6 linked regions of the Oryctolagus cuniculus genome follow. The protein of the gene in region 2 interacts with the protein of the main gene of each other region in a pairwise test. Links are inferred from orthologs where the notes say so. Each region holds a gene or a part of one and is shown on either strand. Other genes may lie near its edges. The genes, in order: EHBP1, PACSIN1, COBLL1, JADE2, ANKRD24 and COBL.

Region 1 (3,500 bases), on a different chromosome or scaffold from region 2:
GCTGGGGCTGTGGAACTCTGAAAAATTCATTTTTTTTTATCTGACAATTATCACCACACTGCAGACTAATTCAACAGTGCACCCCTCTCACTCTGCTTTGAATGCACTGGAGATTGACATCTTAAAAAACCTAACATCTCATTTTAACAAATAAAGGCACTATTTCCACATACAGTTTGGAATTATCAGCAATCATGAAACCACACAAAAAATTAATATACATTAAGCACTTCATCTTCTGATGGCTTCCTCTGAGTTTCAGTTATCGCCGCCTTCTCCTCATTTCCTTTCTTTGTATCTTCCTGTATTGATCTCTGCCTTTTCATTTCTTAAAAAAAGAAGAAAGACATGTAAAATTATTATAAAGCTTGATATTTATATATTGAAATTATGGATTTACAGCATCAGCTTTTTAATATATACACATTGTTAAGAACTGTTGAATCATAAGATGGGAAAACATTTTTTAAAAGTGTTCCTACCTGGTCTGTTCTCAACATATTGACTAAAAGACTGAAGTTGAGTTTTTCTGATTGTAGAATCCTTGCTGAACACAACAGGATTTCTAAAACGTTCTGTTGCTTTTTGTAATCGTTCAGTCCGGAGATCTTCAGTGCCATTCTGAAAGTAAAACAATACACACTTCTAGAGTCCTGATCTTATAAATGTGAAATTACACATTCAGAAGACATTTAAGACAATGCAGACTTTGAAATTTAAAAACTTTCTGAAAGAAAAGTGATTTTCCAAATAGCTCAACTGTAAGTTCCATTGTCTGTAATGAAAAACTTTGGGACTCATGGTTTAAACTCTTGATAACTTTGATACAAGATCGTACAAACTCTGTGTCTTCTCCTGGTGATTGGTATCTTTTAAAAGCTATGTTGCCTCCTGTTCTCCCTACTATTCTGCCCCATCAGCTTGTACAGCCCCACAGACTTGTATGACAAGAAGAAATAGTTTCTAATTTTATGCCCATTGAGATAAACCACTAATGCTGGATGAAGGCTAAAAGGTAGGATTATAATACTACCCCACTGAACTGCATTTCATCAGCTATAACTTTCCAAAGCCAGATTTGTAAGTAAGCCTTTTACAGCTAAGGAAACTACAATTATCTTTTCCGGAGCTTCCTATGTTAATACTGGTAACAAATTCAAATGGTTCTATCAACAAGAAATATCCCAGAAGACTGAACCATTGCAGTGTGTGGAAGCTGCAGATACCGAGGTGCTGTGTACCAAACAAATATTTCATTTTATACCTAATCTTTTATTATTTTTATTAAGTGTTTTGAAAGTAAATAGGGAAAGGCTAAGATGCATGACTAATAGCTAAGCCTGCTGAATGCTGAAACTGGTTATCAAAAGCTACCAAGACTTTGCCCTTCCTCTGCATTGAGACAATCAGTAATGAGGGAGCCCTCCAATGGCCTATTCTCTAGCCTCAAGGAGGCCTGGGATACAGAATCCTCAAGGGAAGGTAACAGTTTATCCTTTTCCACAAACACAGAATGCCTCATTTATAAACGTGTAAACTGCATTTTATTTAAAAAATAAATAAAAACCCAAATCAATGCTGAAAGCTTCAAGAGAACAGATGGAATCTATATGTTCTTTATAAGCATTTTCAAAATCTTAACTGAAAAGATTCCTACAAAGGCAATCCGTTAAAAGCATAATTTTGTTGAAATAACTTTAAAAATTATAACAGGAGATTTTTAAAGAAGCAAAATCAATTTCATCTAGATAAGTGATTAAATCATATTGGAACTACCTCATTTTTAGTTATCTGACATACACATGCACACACACATATATCATCAACGTCATTCTTATAATATACTAGCTATGTAGTTGAGAAAGAAACATCTTTTTTTAAAAAAAAGTGTGAATTCTACTATTATTATAATAACTATCTAACAGTCTAAAACTCAAGTCTACCAAAATAAACAAACATGGCTAAATTTTTTTTTAGGCCTGGCAACATGCTAAAATATCAGTGTGATTAGCCAGCAAATCCCATCTTAAGAAACCTTTTTATGACTAGGGACTTCTGCCACTTTACAAATGTATTCCTCTAAACCCACTAATTCAGTTAGCCTTTTCAATCCATTGTATTATTCTTAGGCCAGCTTCATTCTGCATTAAATCCACTGCAGAAAGCTAAATTGAACGCAAAAAACCAGACCTGATCCAGGCTTCCTTTTGTTCAAAGATAGAGACCCAAAGTCCTCTGGTGCTGCCACACACTTTCATCACCAATTTATAGAAACCGACAATATACGGGAAAAGCAATGAAAGTCATTGTTTTGAGACTTCAAAGCATCTCTGTGTCAGGGGAAGGAAATCCTTTCAGTCAGCAGGGCAGTCCCCATAGTCCGCAGGTGGGTGAAAAGTTATACAGGACTGGAAGTGCCCTAAAGCTAGAGAAATACTAAATGCTACACGGTGTAGAAAGGACGGGGGAGTATGTGGTGGTGGTGGTGGGGATAATATAAAACAATCTCATAATGTAGCATTTTTGCTATAATGATAAATAAGGTAAGATTCATAATGATACAGAACACATGGAAGTATCTTAAACATTTGTATTTAATCATGTCACCATCTTTAGGTATGATGTTTTTGTGAAAATTACAGCCATTCTAGTTCATCTAAACAGGTAGAAGGATAAGGACGATGGAAAAATGCTAGAGTTTGCTTAGCAATATTCTTCTTGGCAAAATATACAATATACACAGACTTCAATAATAGTTTCTACAAACCCTCTGCTTTTACTCAAACTAGCACTCTGACATAGTGGTTTCTTTGAAAAATAGCAAATGAATACTGACTGCCATATTGATATTTAATTATTGGTTATTTAATAAAAAGTTTTACATCTTAATTTTAATGCAAAGAATTAGGGTGAAACTTTTTAGGATTATAAAGGGCTAGCAGAAAGTAGAATATAAAGATATGGAGCTAAATGTTTTTAAAAGTCAGATTTACCTTAATGTCTTGATCCGAGGTCTCAGTTACAGCTTTCTGGGCAGCACTGGAGAATGAATTTGCCACCTGTGGCTGAGCTTCTAGGAGCTTCTTTAGCTTCAAGTCCACCAGCTTACTATTTTGTTCTGTTAAATATACAAATACCATGAATAACAGAGTAGATGTATTTATATGTATAGGCTATCAATTTTAAGTGATATCACAAAATATTATATTTCAAAAGAAAGAAGAAAAGGACATTAGGATTTTGAAATAACTAATCAGACTATACACATGCAGAATTCTTAAACCTATGCCTCTATGTTATATATGAGGAGACTTCAAGAAGTTTGTAGAAAATGGAATTAAAAGATGAATTTACTTTGGTGAAAAGAAATTGGTATTTGGGGCTGCTGCTGTGGTGCAGCAGGTTAAAGCCCTGGTCTACAGCGCCAGCATCCCATACAGCCACTGGTACAAGACCAGGCTGCTCCATTTCCAATGCAGCTCTCTGCTATGGCCTGGGAA
Region 2 (3,500 bases):
GGGCATTTTTGAGGCTGGACAAGAGGGCAGCCAGAGGGCATCTATGGGGCCCGGACCTGAGAGCTGAGCAGGCGCCGAGCCTGGGCCAAAGGTGGGAGGGGCCGCTGTCAGCCTCCCGGGGCGCTTAGGTCCCGGCTCCGTCAGGCCTCAGGGGCTGAGACCAGGGCCTCTGCGATGGTTTGGGCCTAGGAGTGAGCACAGGGACCTGGAAGGGTCTTTTGGGCCTGGTGCAGGGCTCTGGCTGGGGCATGGATGGGGACGGGGGCAGGGGGTGGGTAGGAGCCCCCCAGAGCACAGCAGCCGTCTGAGGGGGCAGAGTTGCAAGGCCAGCTAGAGTGTTGGTCTGGGGACTGTGTGCGGGGCATGCACATGGCGAGGCCCCGACTGCTGGCTCCTGGGAGCTGTGTGTGTCTGCCGAGCGCACATGGGCAAGTGCGTGGTCCTTGCTTCTGACTCCGAGGGTCCAGGAGCCATGAACCGTTCTAGGGGTAGGGGCCGGCCCTGGGAGGAGGCACCTGGGGGGCGGGTATGGAGGAGAGATGGGGAGGTGCGCGCAGTGTGCTACAGAGGAGCCTTGGCAGCCTCGAGGTGGCGAGCAGGAAGCCAGCCCCGGCTCCAGCGCAGGGCCCTCCGTGGAGGCCCCCTCGCACAGCAGGCCTGGACTGGAGCATGGGGGCACAGCCTCACCTCCAGGGGTCTCTCCCCTGCCCTTCCAGCCCATGAGCAGCTGAGCCTCCAGACTGCAGCCCCACTCCTGTCCGCCCCCACGGCCACACCATGTCCGGCTCCTACGACGAGGCGTCGCTGGCTCCGGAGGAGACCACCGACAGCTTCTGGGAGGTGAGGCTTTGAGGGTCCCCAGGTCCTGAGGCTCCCGCATACCCCCCACTTGCCCTGTGAGCTCGTGCCTTCTGCCCCAGCCCCCCGGGCCCCTCCAGAGCCACGAGGTGGGGGTAGGATACTCTGCACGCAGAGGGGTGCTGTGGCATTTCCCCCGTGCAGGCAGCCCCCTCCTCACCGTGTCCAGAGGGCCCTGGTGCAGATCCGGGGGCTTCACAGCTTACGCTGCCCCTCACCCCGTGCCGTGGACACACAGAGGTGGAGTGAGCTCTCAGGGCCCCACAGCCAGAAACCCAACACAAAAACTGCGAAGCTAAATGAATACGTGCTTAATGAGACGTCTGCGGAACACGTCACGAAGCCTTGGCTCGACTCGATGCTCAGATGAGTCCATGTAATACAATGGATGGAGCTCACGAGAGCCACATCAATCATTCCTCCCGGGCCAAGTTCAAATTCTAAGTCTCCCTCTCATTTTGTAGCAGCGGAGGAATTGTGTTTCAAGTGGGATGCGGGTGCGTGGAGGTGGTGAGGTCTAAAGCGCGCGGGTGCCCGGGGCCTCCCCCAGTTAAAGGGCCCCGGGGCCCCCTTGCGTGGTGCGCGGGAGGCGGCCGGCCGTGGCGGCGCCCCCTGCAGGACGCGGCGGCCAGGGCGGCCGGGCCGCGCCGCGCCGGGTCGGGGAGGCAGCGAGAGTGACGCCGGTGCTCGGCCGCCAGGTGGGGAACTACAAGCGGACGGTGAAGCGCATCGACGACGGCCACCGCCTGTGCAACGACCTGATGAGCTGCGTGCAGGAGCGCGCCAAGATCGAGAAGGCCTACGCGCAGCAGCTCACCGACTGGGCCAAGCGCTGGCGCCAGCTCCTGGAGAAAGGTGCCCCCCCCCGCACCTCACCCCTGCCCACCCACCATCCCCGTGCACCCCCACGCATCTCTGCTTCCAACAACCTGAGGTTGCATTAAAAGAACAAAAGGCCAAAGAAAGACCCCTTTTTTATTTAGAAATAATTTTTAAATGCCGAGAAAAGCTGCAAGGGCTGCACAGACACCCCCACCCCGCGACCCTCACCCATTCCCATTTATTTCTCCACTGTCTGGCCACTGACAGGCACTGTATTTTTCTGAGCCATTTGAAAGTTGGAGCCACCAACCCCTCCTTCACCCCTAAATTCTTGTGTCCCTTAAGAACAGGGGTTGGTGTAACCATGGGTCAGCTATCCAATCCAGAGTGTCTAGCAGGGCCCTTGCGCAGTTTTACGATGGCAGTGGTTTGTGCCAGCCCAGCACCCACTCCGGAATCGCACACGAATGGCTGGCAGGTCTCTACATCCAGAACCGCCGACTAGACGCCAAACCCCACGAGGGCAGGGGCTGGGCCCGTGTTGCCTCACACAGTGCCTGGCATGGAGCTGGCCCCCTGCACCTGTCCCCAGCAGGTTCTTGGGTTGTACGTTCAGCCAGCATTCCCGGGAGCTCCTGCTGTGGGCCTGGAGCTGTGCTGGGTTTGTGAAGGCTCAGGGGGTCCATCCAGGCCACCCAGCCGACGCGGGAGGCAAGGACTAGGCACAGAGGGAGGCGTGTGCGGGCAGAGCACTCCGAGCAGGCTCCCTGCAGATGGTAGGGTCCTGGGGCCCTAGAGGATGGACAGAAACACAGGGATTGCAGGGGAGGGCACCTGTGCTGCCATGGGAAGGAAGGGGCACGCGTCTGAGGAGCAGGCAGGAGGGCGCCCCTGGGACGGGGCATAGAGGGCCCTGACCCGCGGCCGCTTGCTCAGGCCCACAGTACGGCAGCCTGGAGCGGGCCTGGGGTGCCATGATGACCGAGGCAGACAAGGTGAGTGAGCTGCACCAGGAGGTGAAGAACAGCCTGCTGAACGAGGACCTGGAGAAGGTCAAGAACTGGCAGAAGGACGCCTACCACAAGCAGATCATGGGTGGCTTCAAGGAGACCAAGGAGGCCGAGGACGGCTTCCGCAAGGCCCAGAAACCCTGGGCCAAGAAGATGAAGGAGGTGCGATGGGCGCTGGTGGCGGAGGCGGAAGGGGCGGTCTGAACCGAGGGGGCTGCTCCCAGGGAGGGGTCTATGGGTGGGGTGGGCGGTCCACCGCCCTCTGCTGGGAAAAAAGACCCACAGCTGGGCAGACAGTGCCCAGTGAAAGGTAAAGAGCCATGGGCCAAGGGCACACTAGGGGGCACAGCAGAGGGCTGACCCTGCACCACCTTCAGGAGGGTCTCCCACGCTGGGAGCGCGCCAGGGCTGGGGGCCCTGCGCCCACATCCCTGCAGCCAGGGCCGGCCTCCTCTGTCTCAGGGCTCCTGGGGAGCCGGCAGGCAGGAGCAGTCGATGGGCGACCATGTTTGTTCCTGCTCCCAAACGGGCCCCTGCCCGCCCTGTCCCCCTCTCGCCACAGCTGGAGGCAGCCAAGAAGGCCTACCATTTGGCCTGCAAGGAGGAGAAGCTGGCCATGACGCGCGAGATGAACAGTAAGACGGAGCAGTCGGTGACCCCGGAGCAGCAGAAGAAGCTGCAGGACAAAGTGGACAAGTGCAAGCAGGATGTGCAGAAGGTGCCGGCCGGGCTGCGGGTGGTGGGCGCAGGGGGTGGGGGCTAGGGGCTGCAAGCCTGGCCAGGTCTCATCTCCCGCCCCCGGTGCCCGCA
Region 3 (4,074 bases), on a different chromosome or scaffold from region 2:
TTCTCTCTCTCTCTAACTCTTTCAAGTAAATAAATCTTTAAAAAAATTTAAAAAGTATTAACTCAATTTCTGGACACCTGTGGGGATATTTTTGTGTAAGTGGGTAGGTTTGTTTTTAAAGATTTATTTGGAAGGCAGAGTTACAGAGAGAGACACACAGATACAGAAATATTCCATCTACTTGTTCACTCCCCAGATGGCCCCAACAGCTTAAGTCAGGAGCTTCATCTAAGTTTCCCGCGTGGGTGCTGGGGTCCAAGCACTTGGGTCATCTCTTCTGCTGCTTTCCCAGGTTAACATAGAAATGGACTGGAAGTGGAGTGCCAACCCCCTAAGTGGGTTTTTTTTTTTTTCAGTACCTTAACCTAATCCATTCCAAATCCACCAGTTCAATACTATCTTGTTTTGTGCTACCTGGATACATTTCAGTACTCTGAAAGCTGGTCCATCTTCAACTTACACAGCTCTGCAGCTCCAAAGACCTTGCTTTCATACTCATTATGTCTCCCAATGTGTTTCTTTCCTCGGATATCCTAATGTGAGGATCTATGACAATATCCACACAATGAGAAAGCTAGGGAAATGAGACAGAAGTCGACAGCAATAGGGCTATTTGCAGGAAGAAGACAGCCAACTGCAGCAAAATGAAAGAATTAATTCATACGCGACATGTTCCCTCTACGTAAGCACTATACAAATGTCTTTTAGCTTAGTCATGTTGCTTTGAGACTTTTCCATGTTTCTTCTCTACAACTGCTAGTGTTCGCATGGTCTCTGATGAACAAACATGCTGTGACTTGCTTCTAAGGAAACGCCTGTCATGTTCCAGGGAAAACTGACTTCACTATTCGGTCAGAAAAACTGCACAACTCTCATTCCTCGGTGTTACAAAGCAGATATTTTCTTTCCTCCACGTTTGTATTTCTCGAATGTTCATCTTCTCATCAGGACGCTCCTACGTTCAGATTAAGAAAGAACGGACATCTGGGTAGCGGGAACACTTGTAGGAAAAAGTTACAGGAATCAAAAGGGTTTCCCGCTTCAGAAGCCCAACGGGCTTGCCTGCTACGCCTGCGCTATTGACCAAGACCAGGGTTATTTTCAGTTCTCCTCATCTCCTGCAGAACTACCTGTTCTCCGGCCTGTTTACCCAACTGCTGGGCAAGGTGATGATTAGCATATCTGGCAGGAAGGCATGCTTCATTTAATATTAACTCACCATGTGACGGGCCCCTTCCCCTCCAATCTCTCCTCAAAACATGTGAGAAGAATAGTTGATTGCAATCTGCCTCCGCGCTCGGCTTTGGCACCCGCAATTGGCCACGGGCGCACACACCCCCGAGAGAGAGGCGAGCACCCCGCCCGCTCCCGGAACTGTCAGGCGGGCTGACAGCTGGCGCACCTTCGCGACGCCCTCCGAAAGCCCCTTCCTAACAGTCTCCTCGACACCGCTCCACCGCCCAGGCCCCTGCCCTTGAACAAGGAAACTTTTTTCCCTCTCTCTTCCTTTCTAGGGAGCTCGCTTACAGGTATCGTCCACCGCTCCAAGAGCTCCAACAAGGGGCTCTTTGTTATAGTCTTTGCTCCCGTACTCCTCACCCAATCCCTGGCAACCAGCTGGCCTTCCGCAACCAGTGCAGCCCCAGTGGCAAAGCCGTCCAACACTGCCCGAGCCCCCGGCCCGGGCGGCCTCCGGCAAGGCCGGGAGGACGCCGCCTCGCCGGCCGCGTGTAGGACGGCCGGGGAGTCAGGCCGCTGGCAGAGCAGCGAGTCGCCAGGCAGGTGAAGCCGGCGAGGCGTCGGTGCCCTCGCGGGCGAACGGCGGCGCGGCGCTCGGGGCTTACCCTGAGGCGGCGGCGGCGGGCGTCGGGGGCGCCGCCGGGGCGTCGTGCGCGCTGGGGGCTCGGCCGTCCATCGCCCTGCGCGGCGCTGCGCGGGCTCCAGCTCGGAGGCGGCGCGTCACTGCTGGGGTGGGAGAGGCGGGAGGTCAGGGCGGGCCGCGCGCCTTCCCGGGGCCGGCCGCGCGTCGAGAGCCCGCCCGGTCCGCGTGAGCGTCCGGCCGGCCCGCCTCCCGGGTGCGCTTCCACCTGCGGGTCCGGCTGGGTGCCCGCGGGCGCCGCCGCTGCCGCCGTGGCGGCAGGTTCTAGCGGGCTCCAGCGGCAGCGGCGGGAGGCGGCGCTGCAGCCCCCGCCCCGTGGGGTTTACTGGGTAGCCAGTTGGCGCCTCTCGGGGAGGGAGTGGAGCTGCCCCGGCTGCCGGAGGAGGAGGTGGAGGAGGAGCGGTGCCGGGCGCGCAGGCACGGCCGCCACGCCGGCAGCGCACCCGGGGCTCCAACGGCCGAGTTGGAACAAACACAATGCCCTGGTAAAAGTTCTCCCGAGGAGAAGTTGGAAGGGCGAATCTCTCTTTTCCCACCCAGGACTCCTACTTTCTTTTCAAAGGGAGACAGTGGCTCGCCTGTTCTCTCTCGCAGCTTCCTCTCCTCCTCTTCCCGCCCCCGGCCTGCGCCCTGGCAGCTTAGCTCTCAATCCAGGACTTGGACAGAGAGAGCCAGCGCTCCCCGGAGCTCGGTCCCGCGGGCTTCTCCCCGGCCGCGCACTCACCCTGCCCCATGCTCTGGCCCGAGCTCGGGAACCAGCCGCCCGGCCGCCCAGAAGTGAGGACCAGCTCGGCGGCATCGGAGCGAGCGAGGCAGCCAGCCGGAGAGAGGACCGGGGAGGGGGCGGGCGGGGAGCGAGTTGGAATTTCCTTCCCCAGGGTTTCGGGTCTTTGGGGACCGGCTAGGGAAGCCAAGCGGAAAGGTAGCTAGCTCCCTGCCGGAATGTTCCCGTTCCCACCGCTAGGGCCTGGGCTGCGGGAAGCCGGGCGCGCCCATACCGGACAGGTGGGGCAGGAGGGGTACCTGCCTGGGGAGGACCGGCCGGCTGCGGAAGTGCGAAGAGAAACTCGTAGAACCCGGCCTGCAAGCTTGCCTGGCCTGCAGTCTGACCTTCGACAACCAGGACTGGGGCTTTTTGTGTGTGTGCTTCTTAACGTGACCTCTACGAATGATTGTGAAAAGCGTACCTGTGACACTGATCTTTCTAATCGGCAGCAGGTTTGAGCTTGCCTTGTCTTCGGAAGCATTTCTTACTTTCTTTATGCAGACCAACAACAGTTGTGACGTGAGGACTGGGCATTATTACATCTGATAACAATCCATAAACCTGGAGTTGAATGCTGGGGCTTATGCATTCACCTCTTGAAAGTTTTACAGGAATAGAAGAATCATGTAGGGACAGCCCTGTGCTTGTGTCCCACGTGCATACTGTTTAGATGATTCGCTACACCTGACAAACAGGTATATTTGCAGATCTCATTGAGATTCTCATCAGTGCCAGTTGTTTTAAGGTACAAGCTATTTCGGAGGATCCAAATGCCTGCTTTCAGAAAATGTGAAATTAAGCAGGTGACTTAACCAGATAACTTAAAACCTACAGTCTAAAAATAAAATCTTTTGGAATCAACTGATAGGTCTTATAGGAAGGAGTATCTAAGGGAGAGAAGAACCTCTGCTATAGTATTAACATCAAGCAACAAAATCTGTTAGCCACTTCATCTTTGTGGGGTAACATTTGCTGAGTATTAGAATTAAATTGATATTTAGAACTAATGCTTAACTAGGTATTTCTGTAGTTGTTTATCGTAGCAACCGGATTGCAGAAATTTAGTTTAAGTATCTAGTAATAGGCCGTTTGCCTATAGGGAAGCATTGGTGTTTGTTGCTTTCAGTGTGGAGTGCCGTCTTTTCAGTGCATCTATGGGAAGAAAAAATGTGGCTTATCTGCATTACACTTTGGAACCATATCATGAAAACCTCCTTTTAAATAAGTAATATTATCAAAGCAGTTCACTTAAATGCCTCTGGATTTTAATCTTGAAACAATAACTCAAGTTAAACAATTTCATGAATCATTTATGCCTCTAAATGAGTAGCGTTTACAGTTGCTTGCACAATGATGCAAATGTTGAGTAACAGTGAAACTACTTAATGTCTATAACTTTCAATCACAGGATCAAGACTAAAACTTTAAT
Region 4 (4,214 bases), on a different chromosome or scaffold from region 2:
CCCCACCAAGCAAACTTCCTCGGTCAATTATTCGCCCTCTTCGGATCAAAGCCTGTTTTTGCTGCCTGTGACCCCAAAGGCAAACAGCATCTCTCAAACAGAAAGCCTTCCTCCCTGGCCGGGTTGGCTTATTACTCATCCCTTCCCCGGATTCTGTTGTGATCTGCCTCCTCTGGCTGTGCCAACCGGCCTCTGGACCACGGGACAGGAGACAAGCTGGAGGCACCCTAGGAACCCAGGAAGAAGCAGGGCCAGGCGGACTGGCAGTTCCCCGTTACTGGGAATCATACCAGGGAAGGGGGGACAGACTGCCACTCTGGGAGGAGGGGCCCAGGCCTGGGTTTTCATGTTAAGGGGGGGAATACTGGCGGGCTGCTTCTCTGGGAGCACGTATCAGGGATCCTCCTGGTTCCAACCAAAGCAAGGACACAGTTTCCCTCCCGCCGCCGCCCCAGTGCCTCCCTGGCTCCTCTGGCCCCGCTCTGGATCCCGAGCAATGCCTTCCACGATCTCCCTGCAAACTACCCCGGGACAAAAAAAACTTCGTGCCTCGGAACCGCGCTGATGAGCCCAGCCCTCAGCCCGGGGCGCCAGGTGCCGGCGCGAGGTCCGGGAAACTGCAGAGGCCCAGAGGTCCGGCCGCAGCGGAGCCCCGGGCTCGGGGTACAGGGCCTGGAGTCCCTCCCCCGCCTGCAGCCCCCTGCACGCGGCCTGCAGCCACGCTGGTGAGAAAGTGCCCGGGCCGGCTGCAGCGGCCTGACGCGCCTCCAGCCCGCCCCTGGAGGCCAGCCGCGGGACCGCAGGCTGGAGGCGCGCCGGCGTGATTCCGACCGCGGGAGCCGGGAGGAGGAGCCGGAGGTGGCTGCGGGGGGCTCCGGCCCAGGCCAAGGAAGAGCAGGAGGCGGTTCGGGCCGGGGGCGGCGCCGGGAGGTGGGTGGGCTGGATGCCCGGGGCGGGGCGGGGGCCCGGACGGCCGAGCCCCTGGGGGGTGGGAAGGGGGAATAGGATTGGGGGGGGCTGGGCCTCTGGAGGCGAGGAGGGGGAAGCCTTGCCGCCCGTCTCGCAGGCATCCTTATGCTCCGACCGAGCCGGCCCCTTCCTCCCCGGGTCGGGAGAAGAGGGCGTCTCGGGACCCGAGGATGGGCGGGAAGGGACCTGGGGGAACCACGAGCCTGCACCCGGGCGGGGAAGCGGCGGGCGGGAGCCGCTCCGCAGGCGCAGGCGAGTGGGTGGGAAGCAGGGAGGGAGCGGGAGGAAGGAGGTGAGGCCGGGAAGATGCCACTGCCGGGGGCGGGGCGGCGCCGGGGATCCGGGCCGAGGGACTGCAGCAGCGCTTGGTGGGGGCGGGGGCTATCGTGTCACTCCCCGGGGCGTCAGGTGTGCGCGTCCCGGGCAAGGGCCCACACTCGCCCGCGTCTTCCCTGCACCCCCACCCCCAGGGCGCAGGGGCGGAGGCGGCGGGCCGGGGTCTGCGGAGCCGTTCCCGGGGCGGGACGCGAACCGGCAGAGTTGGGAGAAGGTAAACAAGGGCCACGCCCCCTGCCGTCGCCCCGCGGGCGCGCACCCGCCGCTCCGGCCGCCGCCGGTACATTTCCACTCGCCCAGCGCCTCACCCCCGCCGGACTCCCGCGCGGCCCCGCAGCGGGGGATGCCCCCGACCCCAGCCCGCGCCCCGGGCGGCGGGGGCTGCGCGTCCTCCCCACTCACCTGGCAAGGGCGGCCCCCGCCCCTCCAAAAAAAAAAAAACTGTGTCTAATTTGTGCGGAGCCTCCGAGCCCAGGAGCCGAGCATGCTGCCCCCGCGTGCAGCGCCCGCGCGCACCCAGCCCGGAGAGGGGGCGACAGGGCGGAGGCGGCGGCCCCCGGAAGGTGTCTGGGACCCGACCGGCTGCACGTGAGCCCAGCGCGGGGTCATGTGCACCGGCTCAGCCCGGTTCGGCGCCCGGACGTGCTGCGTATCAACAAAATGAAACTCGGGGCGACAGGAGGGCAGCTGGCTCCGGGTCCTGCGCGCCCCCGCCCGCGGCCGCGCGACCTCTCCCCCCGCCTCCCCGCGCCCTGCTCGCGCCGCAGCCCCTCCGCCCGGCCGGAGCCCGCGGGGCAAGTTGCGGCCCCGGCGCGCCCCCGCCCGCCCGCGCCCCCTCGCCGGCCCGGGGGCGCTTTGCCGCAGTCATTAATAAAGGAGGTCGCCAGGCTCACCCTTCCAAAAGTTGTTGCTGCATGCGCCCCCGCCAGCCTCCCCGCACTGTACTCTTAAAACACGACTGACCAACATGCGCAATCTCTCTCCCCTGTGCTGTGCATCCCCCCCCCCCCCGCGCGCGCGCTGGCTTCCTAGAACAGGCAGCCAGCAGGAGAGAGAGGGAGCGAGCGAGCAAGAGCGAGCGAGGAGCGCTGGCAGATCTGTTGCAAAAACACAAAATAACGCCGTGGAGATGCGCAGGGCCCATCCGCCGGGGGCTGCTGCTTACCTTGCTGCGCGGTGCCCTCCCGAGGGGCGCTGCCCTCGGCTACGCGCCGCAGCGGGGACCGGTGCGGGAACGATGCTCCCGAAACCAGGAGCTCCCGGGGCCGGCGCGGGAGGGCGGGGGGCGCGCATCCATCCGGGGTCGCGGCGAGGGAGGCGGCCGGGCCCGCGGCGTCCCCGGCCCCTCGGCCCTGCCGGGGACGGGCAGCCCGCCGGACCCGAGCCGGCGCCGCTAGGAGTGAGTGCAAAGTAACTCCATGGACGCTACTCGGCCCCCCCAAAAATACCCTCCAACTGCGATGGCCGCGGTCGGCACCATTCACCAACCCCCTGTGTATGTTTCTGTTTCTTTTTAAACCAAGACTTCCTTGTGATCTCTTTAGAAAAAAAAAATGTGTTGGGGTGGGGGTGGGGTGGGGGCGGGCAGGAGGAGCGAGAGAGGGGGAGTAGCCACTTTTTTCTTCTGCGCTCGGATCTCCGCTCCCAACACCCCCGCCGCCGCCCCCCGCCCCCCGCCCAGTTGCTGGGCTCCGCGGCGGGTCCAGGTAGCGCTGCGGGCCCCGGGGGCGCGCGCCCTGGCCGCCCGCGCGCCGGGCCCCGGCTCCCCGCGGACTCCGGGGCGCCCCCAGCCCGCCCTGTCCCCGGGGCCGGGCCCGTTCGGCGGCTGCGCCCGTGCAAGTCCCGTCAGGTCCGCTCACACCCCGCACACTCACACGCGTTCCCCGCCCCTCCACGCTCTCGCTCACACTTTCTGCTCACACCCCGCCCCCTTCGCGCCCGAGACCCGGGCGGCGCCCCCCGCAACCCTAAAAAAAAAAAAAAAGCTTATACTTAAAAAAATCTTTTGGCGCCATATTAATGACGTACTTAAAATTTGCCATTTCTCCCTGCGTCAAAAAGACGTTTCTTTGCAAATAACAGCCTGGAGGCGACACTCGCGGACGGAACGAGACTCGCACAGCACCCCGCCCCCCGGGGCTCCGGCGCCGGGAGACCCTCGCCCGCGGCCCTGTCTCTGAATCGCCGGTTTTAAAACGCGAATCACATAAATCGCGTGGCGTTTCGCAGCGCCAGAAGTGAGCAGAAAGTGCTGGCTGGAGCGGAGGGGAGGGGCGCGCACGACTCTGGGGGAGGGGGCGCGGCCCTCCCCCCCCTCGCCCGCACCCACGCCAAATGGAAACTAACGTCCCGGGCGGGGGACACTGGAGCTCGTGGGCGACCTCCGGGGGACGGGGGCGGTCCGCAGTAAGGGTCCCTCGCGGGCTCGGCGCCCCCTCCCCCCTCTCGGGTGCCTCCTGGCGCCCGGCGCTGCCCCGCATTTCCGGGGGGCGGGGAACGCGGTGGTGGGTGGGTGGGTGCGCGTCCCGGCCCCCGGCAGGAGTTTGCCCCGGAGCAGCCCCCCCTGCTTGTGCCTCCCGCTCCACCGAAGGGGTTAAAAACCGAGGGGCAACTTCCAGGGGCTGGCACTTGGCGAGGCGGCGGGGCGCCCCTCTCCCCACCCTGCGCCGCCGCGCCCCTCCTCCTCCGGCTCCACTTCCCGACTTGACCTTGTGGTGCACAAACAGTGCGCTCGGATCCTCGCAGTTTCTGGAAGAGGAGCCTGGGCTCGCCAGGCGGCTCGCCGGCGGTGGCCGGGCCTTGGGTGCGTTCCCGGAGTCGCGGGCCACACCCACCCTGCCCGCTGCGCCCGCCGCGCTCACCTTTCTCTCGAGGAAGGGGCAGGGCCGGCCTCCCGCATGGGGAGGGGA
Region 5 (3,833 bases), on a different chromosome or scaffold from region 2:
GGGAGGGAGGGAGAGAGGGAGAGGGAGGGAGAGAGAGAGAGGGAGGGAGAGAGGGAGGGAGAGAGAGGAAGAGAGGGAGAGACCACACGAACACGGCGGGGACCCCTAGAGCAGCGAGAGGCACGCGCCCGTTCACCGCCCCGGAGATGCCGGCCCCAGCGACACCGGCACGCGGGCCCCAGCAGGGGCAGCCCCGGCACGACACACAGAGGTTGTGATGTGACGGGGACAGCCGGGGACCTGCCTCGCGGCTGCTGGACACCCAAGGAAACCCCGGGGCTAGGCCAGGCTGGACCCTCAGGGGGCCTCCCCTCCAGGAAGGCCCCCGGGCTTTCAGCCGGGGTTTGTCCCGGGCAGGTGGGGACTGAGCGCGCCTTCCTGGCGGAACCGAGGTGCTGGGTTCGAGTCCCAGCTCCTGACTCCAGCTTCGCAGTTTTGGCACCTGCCCCCCCCCCCCACGCGGGAGACCCAGGCGGGGCTCCTCCCCCAGGCTCCCACACGCAGGCCACCAGCCTTGGAGCTGTGCACGGTGCATTTTTATTCCCGGGGGAGGGGCGTCCCCGGGACGTGACGAGGGGCGACACGGGCGGGTTGGCAGTGGGGGGGGGGATGGGACTTGTCACAGATTCTCCGAGCGATGCAGCCAGCTACAGAAAAGTTGGGGAGGGGCCCCGCGGGGCGGCCTGGAGGGGGCAGGGGCCCCGTGAGGGTGCGGGGGGCGGGGGCGGGGGCGGGGGCGGGCGGCCCCTCGGGCGCAGCCTCAGCGGCCCTGGGTCTGCAGCCGCTGCATTTGCAGGATCTGACTCAGGATTCGCTGGACGTCTTCGTCCATCTGACCCTGAGGAGCAGGGAGCAGAGAGGACCGGCGGCCCTGGGTGCACCTGCTGCGGCCCCTCCCCCACCCGCACCCCAACCCCAGCGAGCACAGAGGCCGGCGGGCCCGGGGAGGGCTCACCTGTATGGCGTAGAGCAGGTGGCTCCTGTACAAGGCCACCACGGCACAGCGGTCCCTGGCGGCGTCCTGTGGGGCACAGAGTAGGCCGCTCAGGGAAGCGGGGGCGCCGGGTGCCCGAGGACTTGCGCCCCCGCCCCCGCCCCGCGGCCCAGCCCGCACCTGCAGGCGCTGCTGCAGCGCCACCACCTGGTCGCGCAGAGCCTGCACCTCGGCGGCGCCCGGCTGCTCCTTCAGCGCCTCCTTGAGACTGAAGACCTCCTTGGAGAGTTCCGTGATCTGCCGGCAGGGGGCGCTGTCAGCCGGCGCCCGGAGCCGCAGGGCTGGCTCCTGGCGTCCACCCTGGCCCGGCCGCGGCCACGCCAGCTGCCTCCCGCCGGCAGAGCCATTGCTGTCTGCCCCGCAGGTGGGAGAACCCGGCGCTTTCTGGCCGCCTACACTTGCCCCTTCCCCCATGGGCTCCCCGGACCCCAGGCAGCCCGGCACAGTGGGGCTGGGGGCGTCACCCTGCTGTTCCTCTTCCTAAGCTGATCACGGAACGGGGTGGGGGTGGGGGTCCCGCCGAGCCTCACTATCCCCGTCTGTGAAATGGGGGAGATTCGCCACCCTGCACTGGGGCACACAGCAGGACTCAGTAAGTGCTGGGCCTCGTTCCTACGGCAGATCCCAGGATCTTCATCAGGGACTGCTGTGCCCCCCCCCGGGGACACTGGGCGGAGTCTGGGACGGCTGGGGCTGCTCCATGGCCTGCAGAGCCCAGGACGGCCGCAGGGGCCAGGGGAGCCGCCCCCACGGGACAGGAACCACGGCCGCGGGCAGAGGTCGCACGACGTGACCAAGGCCACAGAGTCAGGGCCGGGGGCTGGGTGCGGCCCGCGATCCACTGCCTTCACCCCCGGGAGCCTCGGTTGGCTCACCTGGGAAATGGGGATGAAGACCCGGATGGAGCTCCCGGCTCCCGGCTTCGACCCCGCGTCTTCCCAGGACGGCGGGAAATTAGGAATGCATGAAAATGCCTGACGTCACCGCTAGAGGTCGCTGTCGCCCGCATCATTTAAGAACAGAACCTGGGGGCGGCGCTGTGGCTCCGCGGGTTAAGCCTCCCCTATGGACGCCGGTTCGAGTCCTGGCTGCTCCACGTTTCCCTGTTGTGGCCTGGGAAAGCAGTGGATGCTGGTCCAAGTCCTTGGGCCCCTGCACCCGCGTGGGAGACCCGGAGGAAGCTCCTGGCTCCAGCCTGGGTCAGCCCAGGCCATTGTGGCCATCTGGGGAGTGACCCAGCGGATGGAAGACCTCTCTCTCTCTCTCTCTCTCCCTATTACTGTAACTCTGACTTTCAAATAACTGATAATTTTTTTAAAAGATTTATTCATTTATTTGAAAGAATTAGAGAGGAAGAGAGAGAGAGAGAGAGAGAGAGGTCTTCCATCTGCTGGTTCACTCCCCAGATGGCCGCGACAGCCAGGGTGGAGCCAGGAGCTTCCTCCGGGTCTCCCACGCAGGTGCAGGGTCCCCAGCACTTGGTCCATCGTCCACTGCTTTCCCAGGCCACAGCAGAGAGCTGAACCGGAAGTGGAGCAGCCGGGACTCGAACCGGCGCCCACGTGGGATGCCGGCGCTGGAGCAGGGAGCACACGTACCATTCTACGCCACAGCGCCGGCCCCTGATAAATAAATCTTGAAAAACAAAAGCAGAAACCAACCTGCTGGGAGCAGCGCATGCTGTGCACCCTTGGGCAAGAGGCCAACCTCTCTGTGCTCAGGCCTCCACACGGGACGGGGGGTGGGGGTCTGGGGAGAACCTGGCACCAACCCACGGCCGACGGTACACAGTCGGCGCTCGATCCACGTCACGGTGCCACAGTGGGACACTGGGTGGTGTCCGGGACCCCCAGCAGGGCCCCTCACCCCGCGCCCGAGCGAGGGAGAGGACGCCCACCTTCTTGTCCTTGTCCTTGGCCTTGTCCAGGGCCTCCTGGGCGCGGCTCTGGGCCTGCCGCGCCTTCTCCGCCTCGGTGCGCAGCCCTCGCAGCTGCTGCTCCGCTGTGGCCAGCTGGGCCTCCGCCGCGTGCCGCTCGCTCTTCATGAACAAGGCTTCCCGCTGCACCTGCGGCCCGGCCCCCGAGTGACGCTCAGAGACCCGGACCCCCGGGCCCCCGCGACCCGGACCCCCGTGTGACGCCTTGGGATCACGGTCCCGGGAGTTTCTGACGCTTCTGCTCCGGCCAGGGGACATCCAAACCCAGAGTGCCCGGGAGGGCTTGGCGCCCCCCTGAGCATGCCGGCCGGCCCGTCCTGCTTCTCTGGCCCAAGGGCTGGGAAGCCAGTCCCTGCCTCAGTTTCCCCGTTTGTATATAAAGCGCCAACAGCCCCCTGTGTCCCGGGGCGGGCGGTGGTGGGAGAAAGCGAGCGAACGCGGTCTCTGGAGCAGATTGGAGTTGCAAAAGAAAAGAGCTGGACGAGAAACAAACAGGGTGCAAAAAAGTGGCTTTGGCGCTGGCTGCACTCTGGGCTCCAGCTCCCGGGAGGGCAGCCCCGGGACAGCTCGGGTCACCCACCTGGGGGCGGCAGGCTCCGACCCAGCCCCGGCTGTGGTGGACATTTGGGGAGTGAACAACCAGTGGGAAGAAGGTCTCTCTCTCTCTCTCTCTCTCTCTCTCTCTCTCTCCTTTTCAGATAAAACTAGGCAGAAATCTGAGCATGGTAAGACACTCCAGGGACCCCAGAGACCCTCCCTGGACAGCGACCTACGGCCGAGAGCCAGCGGCTCCAGGCGAGACCGCAGCGCCCGGGGGCCACCAGCGCACCTGCGCACCTGCCCCGGCGGCATGGGGGAAGGGACCAAGTCCAGAGCTCGGTCGACGCCCCGTGGTCCCTGCTC
Region 6 (4,053 bases), on a different chromosome or scaffold from region 2:
ATTTTAAAACTTCACCCAAAGGCCATTGTCTTGGTGTTCTAGAATATTCTATGAATTGCGACGCTTTGGTTGGGCTCTAAGACTCCCTAAAAGTGAAATCAAGTCTGACTCATTGGCTTTTGCACACGCAGCCTCCTCCCTAAGCCAGTCACAGTCACTGTTTTAAGGACATCACCGACACAAACCTAAGAAAATTTGCATTTGTGTCCTGAACAAAGAGCGTTTTAATCAGAGCCACAGCCAGGGAATTCACATGCAGCGGCCCCTTGGTGCCTCCAGGAATCCCCAGGCTGAGCTCTGCTCTGAGGAATCTCCTTAATTCATGCTATGCAGCAAGGCCACCGCACCTGCACCCCCCCCCACCCCCCCCCACCCCGTCAGCAAGGCCACCGCACCTGCACCCCAGCAGGGTACAAGGACAACTTGCAGAGCGCGACACTGTACCACTGCCCTGGTGCCAGGAACCAGACTGCCCGAGCCTGGACAGACCCTGCCTCACTCTCCCCACACTGCAGAGCCCATCCAGAGAGACTGCCCCCACCTCACTCTCCCCACACCAGAGCCCATCCAGAGAGACTGCCCCCACCTCACTCTCCCCACACTGCAGAGCCCATCCAGAGAGACTGCCCCCACCTCACTCTCCCCACACCAGAGCCCATCCAGAGAGACTGCCCCCACCTCACTCTCCCCACACTGCAGAGCTCATCCAGAGAGACTGCCCCCACCTCACTCTCCCCACACCAGAGCCCATCCAGAGAGACTGCCCCCACCTCACTCTCCCCACACTGCAGAGCCGATCCACAGAGGGGAAACAGAAACCCAGGACCCACTGGCAGGATCCCACGGCCACCAATGAGGGGCTGCGGCCAGGAACCTCACAGCCACACCCGTGCTTTATGGCAGGCGACTCACGCACGAGCTCGTTATATAAAACATTCAAGAGCCATTTCCTTCTCAGGCTTTGAACAAAGTCATGTGTTATGAAACTCACACTTGTCCGAAAAACTGAGCGTGGACTTTCTTCTTAAACGTTCGTCATTTTCTATATTCTTGCTGCTCTTTCACTGGGAGTATTGACAAGTGACGGATGAGACTGAGGCGGAGTCTGCCCACGTTTCTCCACACTCAGTGTGAGCGGAGGGAGGACGCGGAAGGCGCCGGTGCTAGCAAGGGCCTGGTTTTCCCACGGGACTCCCAGGGGAAGGCCCCAGGGCAGCCCTGGGGCTCCCCTCTCCCTCCTGCCATAGGGCTGGCAAGAGCCGGGGTCAGGATTTTACCCATACTCCTGGGATACAAGGTTGCCAGCCTCTTACATACTCTCCTCATATTTATTTATAAGGGGGTAGTGACAAACAATCCAGGCTCCTGAAATAGGCGCACTTCATCCAGGAAAGGTGACTCCCTGTCGAATTTCCCCACATTTGGAGATGCCCATTAGCATGAAAAAGGATTTCCTGTATTTATGTTCTTTGTGGGGATTTGTTAGTTCAAAGAGAATTACATAACAACCGCTAAGTGCACTGCAAAAAAAAAAAAAAAAGTTCAGCATTCCAGGGTCAGGATTATTTGATTTGTTAACCTGGCTCACTTTTTCCTGGCATTAAAGGGAGAATTTTTAAAAAAGAGACAGTTCCCAAACTCCCTGCACACTTGTGCGGACAGCGTGAGTCAGAGGGGCACAACTGTGAAAGAAACGTCTGTTGTCCCGGAAGCTGCGCCCTTCAAGGCCAGTTGCTCCGGCGGGGCCGGACCCACCCCAACCCCTCGTTCCATCGCCAGGACTCCCAGGGCGCCGGGGCCGAAGTCTGCGCGCCGCGGACACCCAAGGGCGCCGGGGCTGCGCGGGGCCCGCGGCCTGGGCGCCAGGCGCACCGCTCCACACGGCTGCGGATCCGGTTAAAGGGCACGTTTGTGCGTCCTGCAGTGGGGAAGTTCCTCCTTGTGCGGGGAGAAACCTGCCCAAGGCGCGGGATCCCTTCACGCCACGGCTGAAGGCCGCAAACCTACCCCGGAATCGCGGAGGCGGGGACGGCGGCGCTGCCCGCAGGTCTCGAGCGGGCTCCGCACCTCGGGCCGGCCCCACCTCTCGCACCTGCGGCCGTCCCAGGGCACGGAGGCCGGGGCGCGGGGCAGGTATCACGGAAAACCCGCAGATCCGCCGGCAGAGGCGCCTACACGGTGACCCCGAGTGCGCGGGGCCGAGGCGGCCCTCGAGGTCCCGGGACCCTCCCCTTCGCCACGCGGGGACGAGCGGCCCGTGGGCAGCTTCTGTGGCCAGGGAGGAGCGGCCGGAGCCAGGGGCCGCTGTCCCGCAGCCTCCCAGCCGCTCAGCGCAGACTCTCGGAGGGGTGAGGGCTGCACGGAGCCGGCGGGGGCCCTGCGCGCACCCAGCCCTGCGGAGAGCGCGCCCCGGCCGGGCCTGGCACGGTTACCTGGGCGACGACCCGGGCCCAAAGTACACAACGCCCCCCGCACCAGCTCCCCCGAAGCCCGCGGCTTACCCGGTGGGGGGCTTGGCCGCCGAGGCGCGCTGCGCGTCCATGGTACGGGCCGGCCGGGGCGCGGGCGAGCTCGGGCCCGGCCGAGTCAGGCGCTGGCCGCCGCCGCCGCCGCCCTCATTCACTTGTTCCGCGCTGACCCATCGTCCACCCACGCGAGGCCTGCGGAGGACAGCGGCCGGCAGAGAGCTCGGCAGGGGCTGGGAGCGTCCCAGGCGTGCGGGGAGGGGCCGGCGGCGGCGGCGGCGCGGGGCGGGAGCGCGGGGAGCCAGGTGCGCCGAGCTCGCCCCCGCCCCGCCCGCCCGCCGCGCCGCGCCCCCAGGAGCGCCGCCCCCGCCCCGCCCGCCTGCGCGCGCCCGCGCCCGCGCCGCGCTCCTGCCCTCCCCGCATGCGACCCGGCGAGGGTCTGCAGGCTCCTGGGCCCCGCGGCCGCAGCGGAGGTCCTGCCCCTGTCTCGGGACCAGGCAGGGGGTTCTGGGGTAGCCCGGCCCAGGTCGGGTGGGGCCAGGAGAGGGGAACCACCTGGCGTCCGGGGAGGTCCCGCGGGGGGAGCAGAGCCGAGCAGCCGCAGGTGGGGGTTCGAGGATGGGGCGCGGGGCAGGGGCGCCCAGGGCCGCGCTGTTTATCCGCGCATCAGGTGAGTAGGTAGAGTGGCTCCCAGAGGCGTCAGCGCGCCTGGGAGTTTGTTGGAAATGCAGCCAGGAGCCCTGGTCCGAGCATGGCCTGACTGCCGGCGGGAGCCCGGCGGGGATGTGCACCCAAGGTCCCTGGGCACGCTGTCGGCAGTTATGAAGCAGCAGCCCGTGGGCCCTGCCTCACCCGCACACACCCGCTGGTTCGGCCGCAACAAGGAGGCTCTGATCTCTACAAAGGGTAGTTCCTATCCTGGGGTCGGTGGCAGGCATAGAAGGCTCGGCAGCGACCCTCTGATTGGCCCAGATATCCAGGGGCCGCCTGGGCCTTGGTGGCTCTGATCCCGGCTTTCACAGGAGGCCGGAGACCAGCCCAGACCCACAGTGTACATCTTGCCAGGGCTGCAAGGCCCGGGGTGCACCGGCTGGCTCCCAGCCCTCCCACCCCTGCAGGCCCAGCCCCCAGGGTTTCACCTCTGCTCCTCTCCTCCATGCCAGCCTCTGCCAGCCCCTCAGCTTCCGTCCCCACCCCTGTCACCACCCAGGTGCCCAAGCACTTACATGCATGTGTGTATGGTCCCTTGTGTGTGTTACAGTGCTTATGTTTATAAAGAAAAATTAATGAGCGCCTGTGTAAATAGGTAATATGGGTGTGTGAATGGAGCATAGCACAGAAACCCAGAGAGGCTGCCTTCACCACACACAGCGTCCACCGCTTCCCCCTTGCTCTGCCGCCCTGACGGTGGTCTCCGAGAACCTTGGACTCGGGTCTGCTTTGTGATCACGGCCGGCCTCTGGTCAGTGCCGGGGTGGAGTTCGGGCTCTGTAAATGAGGACACCCTGTCTGGCTCCTCCTCCGCTGTGGGTGGCTGAGAGGCCCTCCCAGCCCTGGGGGCCCTCCTTGCTGTGGACACCACTGTGGG

What was found.
Region 1: the proteins of PACSIN1 (region 2) and EHBP1 interact in a two-hybrid assay, tested with the Homo sapiens proteins (2 studies listed by BioGRID and IntAct). The link is inferred for Oryctolagus cuniculus from reciprocal best matches to the Homo sapiens genes PACSIN1 and EHBP1.
Region 3: the proteins of PACSIN1 (region 2) and COBLL1 interact in binary tests that used the Homo sapiens proteins (3 or more experiments, as listed by UniProt). The link is inferred for Oryctolagus cuniculus from reciprocal best matches to the Homo sapiens genes PACSIN1 and COBLL1.
Region 4: the proteins of PACSIN1 (region 2) and JADE2 interact in a two-hybrid assay, tested with the Homo sapiens proteins (2 studies listed by BioGRID and IntAct). The link is inferred for Oryctolagus cuniculus from reciprocal best matches to the Homo sapiens genes PACSIN1 and JADE2.
Region 5: the proteins of PACSIN1 (region 2) and ANKRD24 interact in a two-hybrid assay, tested with the Homo sapiens proteins (2 studies listed by BioGRID and IntAct). The link is inferred for Oryctolagus cuniculus from reciprocal best matches to the Homo sapiens genes PACSIN1 and ANKRD24.
Region 6: the proteins of PACSIN1 (region 2) and COBL interact in binary tests that used the Homo sapiens proteins (3 or more experiments, as listed by UniProt). The link is inferred for Oryctolagus cuniculus from reciprocal best matches to the Homo sapiens genes PACSIN1 and COBL.

The regions. Positions count from the first base shown.
Region 1 is NC_091433.1:139,946,101-139,949,600, forward strand, and holds part of EHBP1 (EH domain-binding protein 1), read right to left. Parts: intron 3,119-3,500; coding exon 2,994-3,118; intron 622-2,993; coding exon 483-621; intron 329-482; coding exon 222-328; intron 1-221. UniProt on the Homo sapiens protein: May play a role in actin reorganization. Links clathrin-mediated endocytosis to the actin cytoskeleton. May act as Rab effector protein and play a role in vesicle trafficking.
Region 2 is NC_091436.1:134,869,669-134,873,168, reverse strand, and holds part of PACSIN1 (protein kinase C and casein kinase substrate in neurons protein 1), read left to right. Parts: intron 1-716; 5' UTR 717-777; coding exon 778-840; intron 841-1,556; coding exon 1,557-1,713; intron 1,714-2,616; coding exon 2,617-2,852; intron 2,853-3,252; coding exon 3,253-3,408; intron 3,409-3,500. UniProt on the Homo sapiens protein: Plays a role in the reorganization of the microtubule cytoskeleton via its interaction with MAPT; this decreases microtubule stability and inhibits MAPT-induced microtubule polymerization.
Region 3 is NC_091434.1:76,612,792-76,616,865, reverse strand, and holds the start of COBLL1 (cordon-bleu protein-like 1), read right to left. Parts: upstream 2,801-4,074; 5' UTR 2,614-2,800; coding exon 2,604-2,613; intron 1,966-2,603; coding exon 1,845-1,965; intron 1,438-1,844; exon of another isoform or gene 1,220-1,437; intron 1-1,219.
Region 4 is NC_091437.1:22,755,276-22,759,489, reverse strand, and holds the start of JADE2 (E3 ubiquitin-protein ligase Jade-2), read right to left. Parts: upstream 2,801-4,214; 5' UTR 2,786-2,800; coding exon 2,735-2,785; intron 2,610-2,734; exon of another isoform or gene 2,471-2,609; intron 2,307-2,470; exon of another isoform or gene 2,199-2,306; intron 2,071-2,198; exon of another isoform or gene 1,708-2,070; intron 1-1,707. UniProt on the Homo sapiens protein: Scaffold subunit of some HBO1 complexes, which have a histone H4 acetyltransferase activity. Acts as an E3 ubiquitin-protein ligase mediating the ubiquitination and subsequent proteasomal degradation of target protein histone demethylase KDM1A.
Region 5 is NC_091447.1:59,707,672-59,711,504, reverse strand, and holds the end of ANKRD24 (ankyrin repeat domain-containing protein 24), read right to left. Parts: intron 3,060-3,833; coding exon 2,892-3,059; intron 1,232-2,891; coding exon 1,115-1,231; intron 1,022-1,114; coding exon 956-1,021; intron 839-955; coding exon 761-838; 3' UTR 501-760; downstream 1-500. UniProt on the Homo sapiens protein: Component of the stereocilia rootlet in hair cells of inner ear.
Region 6 is NC_091447.1:55,722,861-55,726,913, forward strand, and holds the start of COBL (protein cordon-bleu), read right to left. Parts: upstream 2,801-4,053; 5' UTR 2,543-2,800; coding exon 2,502-2,542; intron 1-2,501.